3 linked regions of the Macaca fascicularis genome follow. The protein of the gene in region 2 purifies or fractionates together with the protein of the main gene of each other region. This does not show direct contact. Links are inferred from orthologs where the notes say so. Each region holds a gene or a part of one and is shown on either strand. Other genes may lie near its edges.

The links.
Region 1: the proteins of CSTF2 (region 2) and CPSF2 purify together in Homo sapiens (affinity purification with western blotting; 3 studies listed by BioGRID and IntAct, with this or other methods). This does not show direct contact. The link is inferred for Macaca fascicularis from reciprocal best matches to the Homo sapiens genes CSTF2 and CPSF2.
Region 3: the proteins of CSTF2 (region 2) and CSTF3 fractionate together in Homo sapiens (co-fractionation; 4 studies listed by BioGRID and IntAct, with this or other methods). This does not show direct contact. The link is inferred for Macaca fascicularis from reciprocal best matches to the Homo sapiens genes CSTF2 and CSTF3.

What each region holds. Positions count from the first base shown.
Region 1 is NC_088381.1:160,139,864-160,143,513, forward strand, and holds part of CPSF2 (cleavage and polyadenylation specificity factor subunit 2), read left to right. Parts: intron 1-443; coding exon 444-631; intron 632-1,284; coding exon 1,285-1,575; intron 1,576-3,650. UniProt on the Homo sapiens protein: Component of the cleavage and polyadenylation specificity factor (CPSF) complex that play a key role in pre-mRNA 3'-end formation, recognizing the AAUAAA signal sequence and interacting with poly(A) polymerase and other factors to bring about cleavage and poly(A) addition.
Region 2 is NC_088395.1:107,483,760-107,487,509, reverse strand, and holds the start of CSTF2 (cleavage stimulation factor subunit 2), read right to left. Parts: upstream 2,671-3,750; 5' UTR 2,665-2,670; coding exon 2,607-2,664; exon of another isoform or gene 2,452-2,606; coding exon of another isoform or gene 2,433-2,451; intron 1,541-2,432; coding exon 1,462-1,540; intron 819-1,461; coding exon 649-818; intron 450-648; exon of another isoform or gene 317-449; intron 1-316. UniProt on the Homo sapiens protein: One of the multiple factors required for polyadenylation and 3'-end cleavage of mammalian pre-mRNAs. This subunit is directly involved in the binding to pre-mRNAs.
Region 3 is NC_088388.1:32,419,472-32,423,221, forward strand, and holds the start of CSTF3 (cleavage stimulation factor subunit 3), read left to right. Parts: upstream 1-1,242; 5' UTR 1,243-1,397; coding exon 1,398-1,424; intron 1,425-3,750. UniProt on the Homo sapiens protein: One of the multiple factors required for polyadenylation and 3'-end cleavage of mammalian pre-mRNAs.

The sequences.
Region 1 (3,650 bases), on a different chromosome or scaffold from region 2:
TGGCTGTATATATAATTGTGCGAGTGTATATATATGTATGTACATAAGTTTGGGACAAAGTTCATTGGGGTGGATAGGCGAGACTGGGGTAGCCCAGAAACACCAGGCTGGTTACATTTGGCCTAGCCAAACAATTTTCTCAGTGATACACACACCATTTTCCATGTGTATTATAATGTATAGAGTGTTGAGGACTACTGATTTATAATTTTTCAATGAAAAAAGATGGAGAGTTAATGACACTGAATTTCTGAAGAGATAGTCAACAGAATCAAAAGCAGTTGTAATGACCTGAACAAAATTCCTTCATTTTTTACCTGGCCTAGTAGTTGCTTATTTGTAAATTACAGTCTTTCTAATAAAAACACAGAGAGAAAATTATCTGTAATTTTGTAGCATAGTATTGTTATGTTCTATAGGGATTTTACATTCTTGTTTTCTAGCAAATGTCCTGGAAACACTTCGAGGTGATGGAAATGTGTTAATAGCAGTGGACACAGCAGGCAGAGTTTTGGAACTTGCTCAACTTCTTGATCAGATTTGGAGGACTAAAGATGCAGGACTGGGTGTTTACTCATTGGCACTCCTAAATAATGTCAGTTACAATGTGGTAGAGTTTTCTAAATCCCAGGTTTGTTCTCATGTTGTCACTTGTAATAAAGAAGTTTGCTACAGTGATTGGGTCTGTGGAAGTGGGTGTCTTCATTGTTTTTTGGATTTTATTTTTCCCTTGAAGAGATTGTTAGTAATGATGATAACTTGCCATTAACCATTTACTGTTCTGTGTGCTTTAAATGTATTATTTCATTTAATCTGTATTTATTCTACTAAGTAGTTTCCCTTTTATCCCTGTTTTAAAGATTAGGCAAATTGCTTCTCTTCTAACTCTTTAGTATCCCAGTCTGTAAAATGGGGACAAAAATAGAACCTACCTCATAGCATATACATGTTAGAATTCATTGTTCTTTCTTTTAAATAAGCTTTTTGCCTTGAAATAGCAATCTCTGGGAGTAAGATTTTCATTTAGAACATATACCTTGCCTTTTCAAAAAGATTTAAGGTGATTTATACGTGAAATATAATGCAAAATTGGGTTTTTTTGGGATGAAAACTAGGGTGGGATAATCTAATGGGAAATGGAAGCAGAAAATAAGCTGCTTGTCAAAACATTACAAATTTAAGCAACCAGTGGGGGTAAAAGATAGAACTTGGATTCCTTGACTATTAGAGAATATATTGAAGTTATAGGATTTCTAATTCTTGTCATCTTTCCCCCCACATTAGGTGGAATGGATGAGTGATAAATTGATGAGATGTTTTGAAGACAAAAGAAATAATCCATTTCAGTTTCGCCATCTCTCTTTATGTCATGGTCTTTCTGACTTGGCCCGAGTACCTAGCCCTAAAGTTGTACTTGCCAGCCAACCTGACCTGGAATGTGGATTTTCAAGGGATCTCTTTATCCAGTGGTGTCAGGATCCTAAGAACTCAATCATTCTAACTTACAGAACTACTCCTGGGACTTTAGCACGTTTCCTAATTGATAATCCTTCTGAAAAAATTACAGAAATAGAGGTAAGCACTTGTATGTGAACTTTATCTTAAGACTGTTTGGGGGATACATTGTGCGTGATGTATAAAAAATAGTGACCAAAAATAAAACTTGAAGTTGTTTTAGGATTTTGATCAGAATTACTCTTGAGAGCCAGGAGTGGTGGTGTGTGCTGTAGTACCAGCTACTCGGGAGGCTGAGGTGGAAGGATCACTTGAGCCCAGGAATCTGAGGTCAGCCTGGGCAACATGCCAAGACCTACCCCCCATCTCTTAAAAAAAAAATTACTGTAGAAGAGAGCCTTTAATAGCACAAATTTCAGAGTTCCTTAACTGGAGGTTCTCTTTTTTTTTTGAGATGGGGTCTTGCTTTGTTACCCAGTCTAGAGTGCAGTGGTGCTGTCATAGTTCCGTGCAGCCTCAAACTCCTGGGCTTAAAGGATCCTCCTCCCTCAGCCTCCCAAGTAGCTGGAACCATAGACATGTGCCACCAGGCCTGGCTATTATTTTATTTTTATTTTTTGTAGAGACGTCTCATTGTATTGCTGTGGGTGGTCTCAAAAGAAGTTCTCATTCTTAAACTTTTCCTTGGTACCCTCTAGTTTACCCAGAGGGTAAGCCTATACAGTGTTTTCTCAGTCTCTGAAAGGTTCCTTTCCTGTCTCTTGCTTAATTTAAATCAGACTCTTTCCTAAAGACGTTCTTTATCCTGTAGCCCCCAGAAGTAATTACTCTTTCTTTCAGTGTTGCATGTACTTTGAATGGAGTACATGTCTTCCTTGTTCTGTATTGCAGCTTCCTAGCTATTTATCTTCCATTTGCAGTTTTTGCCTTCAGACCTGCTGATATGCTGACCCCTCCTTGTTTCTGACATTTAATGATCTCTTGGTCATTCACCATTTGACCCTGATTCACAGTCTTCCTGTCCACTTGTATTCAGGACTTTATTCTCACTGACTTTAGCTTCCATGTATATGATCTGTCCAATTCTTCTCAGTTACTTGACACCTTATTTCTTAATCTTTTCCTTCATCTTACCTCAGACATCCATTCCTGCTGTCATGCTATCTGTTCCTGTGGTCATGCCTGTAACCTTCTTTTGGCCGAACAGTCTCCAAGCATCTCATTCTGAATTTACAGCTGACTTTCCCTGTTATTCTCATGACAACAACTCTTCAGTTCCATTGGGACTTTCAGTTCATGAACCTCACCTTTATACTGTCTATCATCCTTCCAGCCTTAAACTCAGTGGTTCACAATTAATCAAAATTTTGCAAATATCTTTAACTCTCTTACACTTCTGTTTTAGTCCCTGGAAAGGCTTTGACCTTAGTTAAACTATTTGCTTGGTGCGTGCCTGTACTTAAGCAGCTTTATGTTTCTGAAGTTAAACACTACAGTGTAGACAGATTTGTTTTCACATGCATAACTTCACATCTCAGAAGGGGACCCTACACCAGTACTCAGCATTCAGTAGGATGTTCCCGTTCTCACTGTAAGGCAATTTTATATCTTCTTTCTCCTCAAACATCCTACAGCTCACTCTCAGCCTTCATTCATAGCACATGATCTTGTCTCAAACTTAACATAGAAATCGAAGCAGTGAGTCAGGAATTCCTTTATCTTTCCACCACTAAATATACTAACTTGATTCTGCATCTGCATTTGCTGCCTTATCTCCTGTTACAGGAACAAGACAATTAGCTCAATGACTAGTATACCCAAAGATCGTTTGCTTAATAACCAGTGCATCAGTTCTATCGATTTTTCAAAACTAGTATATCATTAAAGTTTGTAGCATTTGATATAGTGGGATGGTTAATAACTGCCAGAGTTGCAAAAGTTTAGGCGACTAAACCTTAACATAAAGCTGTAACATAAAGCAGTATCATAAAGCTGCTTCTTATTTTGTCTTTGTAGCACTCATGTAATTATTTAATTAGAGATAGACTCTCTCTCTGTCACCCAGCCTGGAGTGCAGTGGCACCATCACAGCTCACTGTAACCTCGAACTCCTAGGCTCAGGCTGTCCCTAAACCTCCCCCTAACCCACTCCACCTTGCAAAGTGCTGGAATTATACATGAACCACCGCACCTGG
Region 2 (3,750 bases):
AACCTAAGTTAGAGAACTGGGAACACTGACTTCTTTTGACAAGTCATTTCAGAAACAAAATGTTAAAAGAGAAAAACATGCTAATTTCAAAAACTCCTGAAAACAGTGACAGGAATGACTAATGCCATAGTTAGTACTACTAATGGCTTGATGAATTTGAATTCATCTTTAACTGGAAATAACTCCTTAACAATGGAAAAATTTCGTTTTTTTTTTTTTTTTTTTTTTTGGAGACAGTCTCACTCTGTTGCCCAGGCTGGAGCAACTGAAGCATTTCTAATGTCAACTTTACAGTTTCTTAAAGATATACACTTACTAGCAAGTCTCCAGCATGCTTAGGTCTGCAGTGACCCTATGCATTCCTACAGTGCTTGCCAGAACAGTTTTGAAATGGTTTGAGGCCTTGCCCTGCTCCATCCAGAGCAAGGGTATAGAAATTTCAGACAATTACTTGAAAAAAAATTTATAAAAAATTTTTTAAAAGATATATATAATACTTGCCTAACTCAGGCACATCAGATCAGTCAAGTAATAAACAAGCTGTGTGGCTAACCATTTCAGCATATTCTAAAACATAGCAGAAACGGAAAATCTTCATTGTTACATCTTTACTAACTCACACTGCATCCAAGTTGGATTTGTACTCACTCTTCAGCTCTTCTTTGTTCTTTTCACTGGCAGCATTGTCCACTCGAAGTGCTCTCCCACTGAATTCACGCCCATTCAGGTTCCGCATGGCACTAAGTGCTGTCTCTTGGTCTTGGTATTCACAGAAGCCATAACCCTTTGGCTTTCCTGTCTCTCTATCATATACCAATCTGGAGAGCAGAACCAAGTGTCAGGAACAAATGTTACACACATACAGGGTTCCTGCTAACATTGCCATGCTTTAATTGGGCCCACTGTAACATAAATAACTTTACAGCTCTGACAGCCTCACAGAAATATTTTTTAAAACTTTTTCTTTTTTTTTTCCCTGAGATAGAGTCTCGCTCTGTTGCCCAGGCTGGAGTGCAGTGGCACGATCTTGGCTCACTGCTGTCTCCACCTCTTGGGTTGAAGCAATTCTCCTGTCTCAGCCTCCTGAGTAGCTAGGACACAGGCATGCGATACCACAGCAGCTAATTTTTGTATTTTTAGTAGAGACGGGATTTCACCATATTGGTCAGGCTGGTCTCGAACTCCTGACCCCAGGTGATCCGCCTGCCTCGGCCTCCCAAAGTGCTGGGATTACAGGCAAGAGCCACTACGCCCTGCCTAAAAAACATTTTTAATGAAAAAAACATATTTTAGGTAAGAATAAATGTCAATTGTATAGTATATCAATTATATCTAAATAAAGCTGTTACAAGAATAAAGTGTATGTGAAAAGTCACCAGTAAAGAAAACCTGCCATTACTAAGAGCCAAATCTGTGGTAATTTTTAAGAAGCTCCCACCATGAAGTAAAAGGGGATCTCACCTGAAACTAACAACAGGTCCAACCTCAGAAAAGATGTCCTTCAACTGTTCTTCAGTAGCTTCATAAGGAATGTTCCCCACTAAGGAAGAAAACAGGTAACATTAAAATTCCGAGTTTATAACATAGATCTTTAGTGAGAAAGTAAATGACAGAGTATCTACTTATATCATCAAATATAAGGCTCAAAATAGTGTTCTCCAATCCCAATTCCACTGTATTTCTCTAGACCTCTTAACAAAGGAAATGTACCACTGAAACTAAATACAAAATGTGTAGGTACTCTTAAATGTTAATTCTCAGACTGATCTGACAAGTGTTAGATTTTCCTTAACTTTGGTGAAAATAAATACTTCGGCACTGGTATTTACCTAAAGATCTGCAAGTCTCATCAGTGACTACAAAAAATATCAATGTTTTTTAATATAATTTTTAAGACAGGTTCATATGTATTTCCACACATACAACATTTAAGGGAGAATGACCATGAATGTAGTGAAGGATGTTTAAAAATTATTCTGAACTACTTTGTCATGTCCCTTTCAAATGGCACTCTAAAATAATCACACGTATTTTTAAAAACAACTTATTTCAGCCAAAAAGATAATTCAGAATCATTTCGATCCTTTTTAAAATTCCTCTGAGGAGGTCTTAACAGTTCATTCATTCATTCATTTACAAGACATCTCAGGACACCAGGTGGCCTCTACTACTATTGATGAACTAAAATGTTACGGATAAAAAGCAAAGGATGAAAGTCCTTACGAGAGAACAGGAAGTGGACACTAGGATCTATACCCTCAGCATATAGTCTGTATTCTGGGGCAGAGGATGAGAAGTAGTACGGGACAGTGAGGAGCTGTTGCCATGCGCCCTCTCCTCTAGAGAATAATTAAAGCTCATGAAAGGAGACACGCACAGAAGCTGAACGCTAGTCTAACTTCCCCAGTGATATTGCGGAAAGCCTACGAGACCTCGGCAGAATGGGAACATCTCTTTGCTCACGAGTCCACCAGGTTGGACGCCCTACAGGATAGGCAGGGAGAACTGCATGTCCGAACCGTCAGCGGCTCCGGTAGCGATTCATGAGATAGGAGGTGCAGAGGGGAGTCCCTCCCCGAAGCTTGGCTCCAACGAATTCCTCTCACCGAACACAGAACGTAGAGAACGATCCACCGCTGGGTCTCTCACAGTCAAACCCGCCATAGCTCTATTGAGTCGGCTTCCGGTGCGCCAAAGCACACTTCCGTACGGAGCACAAGCCCAGCGCTGAGCACGCTTCCGTACGGCGCGTGAGCCGGAAGTGCCTGGGTGGAACGGACGCAGAGCCCCTCCCCTGACGACCTTCTGTTAGCCGCAGGCGCGAGTTGCGTCCACCGGAGGACTCAACCCCCACCCCTGAGATTAACTCTGTTCCGAGCCAGATGCAGGCGAGTCCAGGCTAATTTGAAGGGTTTCAGCCTGCAGACTTCCTTCTTATTTTCTCTTAGGTTGATGCAAGTACTCGTTAACCACAATAAAGATGGCGCAGCGGCTTTACCATGGTAACAGGGAAGTCTTTTGCTGACAACTGTGGCGCTTGCATTTTAGTTCCGCCCTATCAAGGGAGGGAAATGCTTGGGCGCGTCCCAGCAGCGTGCATATTAATTTGCTAAAGCTGTGGGTGTATGGAGTGAGATAAGGAAAGGGTATGCTAGCCGAGAGAAGCATAGTTGAAGAAATGGGAGAGGTAAAGGGAAAACAGACCTCTTTCTGTCCTGGTGTAGTCCGTGGGTTCCATGTGGTTCGTGGTGGGGCGGTGCGGCTGGGGATTCTGGCAGGCAGGAAACAGAAAACGTCATTCATTAGTTTTTCCACACTTTGGTGCCCACGCTCCTGTGATGTGGCATGCAGGGCAGGTCGTTGTATCAGCCCGAAAAGGCAGACCCTGCCGGGGTTGGAGGAAATCCAGAGGGCACCTCAGGAGGACAGGGTTAGGGGAGAAGCAAAAGAAGGAGCCAAGAGCGCTACCTTTGAGGGACTTGTCTGAAAAGGGAAGACAGTAAAATAGCCACGGAATTGGAGGCACGGACGTTTTTATTAATTCCACATGTATTAAAAGTATACGGACCGGGTGCGGTGGCTCACGCCTGTAATCCCAGCCTTTTGGGAGGCCAAGGCAGGCAGATCACCTGAGGTCGGGGGTTCGAGACCAGCCTGACCAACATGGAGAAACCCTTTTCTACTAAAAATACAAAATTAGCCGGGCGTGGTGGCACACGCCTGTAATCCCAGCTGCTCAGGAGGCTGAGG
Region 3 (3,750 bases), on a different chromosome or scaffold from region 2:
GGCATGATCTCGGCTCACTGTATTTTTAGTAAAGACGGGGTTTCACGGTGTTAGCCAGGATGGTCTCAATCTCCTTACCTCATGATCCACCCGCCCCGGCCTCCCAAAGTGCTGCGATTACCGGCGTGAGCCACCACGCCTGGCCTAGAACTCCTGATCCATTCGTCTTGGCCACCCAAAGTGCTGGGATTACAGGCGTGGGTCACCACGCCCGGTCAATCTCATTTAATCTTAATGCCAGATACTGTTCCTAACACCTTTCTACGTATGATTTATTTCTTTTTTTTTTTTTTTTTTTTTTTGAGACGGAGTCTCGCTCTGTCGCCCAGCCCAGGCTGGAGTGCAGTGGCGCGATCTCGGCTCACTGCAAGCTCCGCCTCCCGGGTTCACGCCATTCTCCTGCCTCAGCCTCCCGAGTAGCTGGGACTACAGGCGCCCACAACCGCGCCCGGCTAATTTTTTGTATTTTTAGTAGAGACGAGGTTTCACTGTGGTCTCGATCTCCTGACCTTGTGATCCGCCCGCCTCGGCCTCCCAAAGTGCTGGGATTACAGGCGTGAGCCACCGCGCCCGGCCGTATGATTTATTTCAGTTGCAGGTACTATTATTCCCACCTATAGGCCAGAAAGCTGAGGTACAAAGTTTAATTGCCCAGAGTTACTTATCTTAGTTAAAATCCAAGCAGTCTGGGCTCCAAACAATCATATCCACTTTGCAGTCAAGGAACCATGCTGAGATTTTGAGCTGAAAATCCAGGTCTCACAGACTTCAAAGCTTTCTACATAAGAGTAGACGGCGGCAGTAAAAATTAACGTGGGCTTGATCTATCCCTCCCACCCCCAAGAAAAGTAAAAAGCAGGAACTGAGACCAGAGAAAACCTTCACGGATTCCTTATCCCCTAAATATAGGAGGCATTTAACGCTTAGCATTGCTGACTAGCAATCAGGCTTCAACCGTGAGGAGCCAGGCTCTTAAAGCTTTTTAACTGAATTCCAAAAAGCGCGCGAGCCTCCAGGCGAAACAGATTCCCGCCTTCCAGCCGGTTAGAGCCGGCTCAGCAACAGCCTCTCCAGGCCGGGGTAGTGACGTCAGCCCAGGAATTGGGCCCGCCCCGGGATCTCGCTGCCTTCTGCACGTTCGGAATAACCAACGAGTCGCGAAATTAGCCCCGCCCACTGCCCCGGAAGTTAATGCGAAAGCCACACACCCCCCTCCTCGGCCGGCAGGGGCGCAGCCATTTTAATTCATATCTGAGTGGGCGGTGGCGATTGGTGTTGGCGGTCTGGCTCAGCTGGGCAGGGGGTAACTTTACTGATTTGGGGGTGGTTTTTAGTTTAATTTTTCTTTTCTAGCTTCCCATCGACGGTCAGTGCGCACGTTGTAATCAGCTGAGGCCATGTCAGGAGACGGAGCCACGGAGCAGGTGAGGAAGGAGAGTGGTGGGGCCTCGTGGCGACCTCTTCTCCACGTCTGTTCCTCCGACTGCTCCAGACATGTTCGCCTGAGGAAGGAATTGGGTCTAGTGAACCCGGGGGACAGGGTATATACAAGAGTGGTGGGAATGGGGAGCAAGATCTGATTAAAATTTAGGTTTTTTTTACTTCCCTGTCTTAGGCACTAATACGAGTAAATACTTGATTTAGACAATAGCCGGTAGGCTGCTTCGTCCTATTTAGATTCATGGGACTACTCCAGATGGGATGCTTTCCTTTGATATCGCTTTGGTATTAGAGTGGATAGGAATTATTTTAACGCGCACCCGCCGTTTTAGAAAAACTTGACAGTGTTTCTTTCACCCAGCCAAATGTAGTGTACCCAGAAATAGGTTACTAGTTTGAGAAATATTTGAGACAAAGCTAATCTGGAGAATTAAGATTTAAGAGAGCGAGTGAAGAAAGAAGCAAGTTATGCTGTGGTTTTGGGAATATTGTGGCTTATTTTCGTTTTCTTCCTTTTCTTCCTTTTAGTCACATTTCATTTTCGTTTTTCCAGCTACATAAACATTGCAGGTATATTATAAGTTGAAAATGAGAAGTCTGTTTTGGCCACTGTAAATAAAAGCATGTTTTAGTAGTAAATATGGGTGACAACTAAATATTTAAAAATTCAGACTTTTAGGTTAGATCAGTGTGGTTTGTTTTTTTTTCTCTTTGTATTCAGAATTTTGTAGGAGAGTACCTTTTAGTGTGAGAGAGGAAACAAAATAGTTTTGAAAGATGCCATTAAATTTGTTTTTCGATCTAAGTCCTGGTGTGTTTAGATAAATACAGTTTCTAAAATGGAGGCTAGGTAGCCTGCAGTCTCAATTTCCTGAAATTTCCCATTGCCATAGCAACGACATGCACTTAGATTTTCATTTTTCAGGTTCCCTAGCTTATAACGTGGAAGATGTTATTGAAGGTTGACAGAGATGAGGCAAAATAGGAGTGTTCTATTGCATAGTCTGTAAGACTGTAGATTTCATTTTGTCGGCAGTTTGACTAAATTGTTTTGTGTTTGCTCGAGGACTGGTTTCAGTCCAGAAATCTTCGCACTATTTACATTTTACATACTGTTAGCATGCCCGAGCATGCGAAGTCTTAAAATTACCGTATCAAAACTGTTTACCTCTTTTCTGATCTAGTATTTGTCATCTGAAAGTGAAGGATTAATTAATTGAGGTTTCATTGAAAGTTTCCGAAATTCATCGTTAATCTTAGAATTTATCTAAAATTACAAAGACACAGAAATGTTACCATGACCTCTTGAATGTTTTAGAACTGTGGTGTTTCAATGGGACAGACAGATGGTGGTCAAAATTGTAGAAAAATAATTTCCCCCAAGGGTTTTATTGTGCAAAGTTTAGAACATAGAGAAAAGTTCAAAGAAAAGTGCAGTGAACACCTGTGGGACAACTCTTCACCTGGAATCAACAGTTGAAAGCCTTGCCATACTTGCTTTATCTCCCCATGCTGATTGAGAACAGGGTCTCTGTCACTAAAGCTAGAGTGCTGTGACGCCTTCACAGCTTACTGTAGCTTCGACCTCCCTGCGCTCTGTGATCCTCCCACCTCAGCCTCCTGCCTCAGCCTCCTGAGTAGCTGGGAGTACAGGCGCGCGCCACCATGTCCAGCTAATTTTTTTTTTTTTTTTTGAAACGGAACCTCAAGCTCTGTCGGCCAGATTGGAGTGCAGTGGCGCGATCTCGCCTTACTGCAGCCTCCGCCTCCCGTTTGGAGCGATTCTCCTGCCTCAGCCTCCCGAGTAGCTGGGATCACAGGCGCTCGCCACCATGCCCCGCTGATTTTTGTATTTTAAGTAGAGACGGGTTTCGCCACGTTGCCCAGGCTGGTCTTGAACTTCTGACCTCAAGTGATCCGCCTGCCTCTGCCTTCCAAAGTGCTGGAATTACAGGCGTGAGCCACCGCACCCGGCCTAATTTTTGTAGTTTTTTTTTTTGTAGAGACAGGAATTCACCATGTTTCCCAGCCTGGTCTCGGAACTCCGGGGCTGAAGCGATTCGCCCACCTCAGTGTCTCCAAGTTTTGGGATTAGAGACAGGCACGAGCCACCATGTCTGGTCCATGCATGTTTGTTTGAAAGTATGTTGACACTTTGCAGCCCAAATATTTCAGCATTCTCATATAAATAAGAGCAAAATGTTGTTAAATAATCTTCATACCATTTCCCCACCCAAGAAAATAATAATATTTCTAAAATCTAGTCCTTCTTCAAATTTCCCCACTTGTCCCAAGAATATGTTTTTTTTG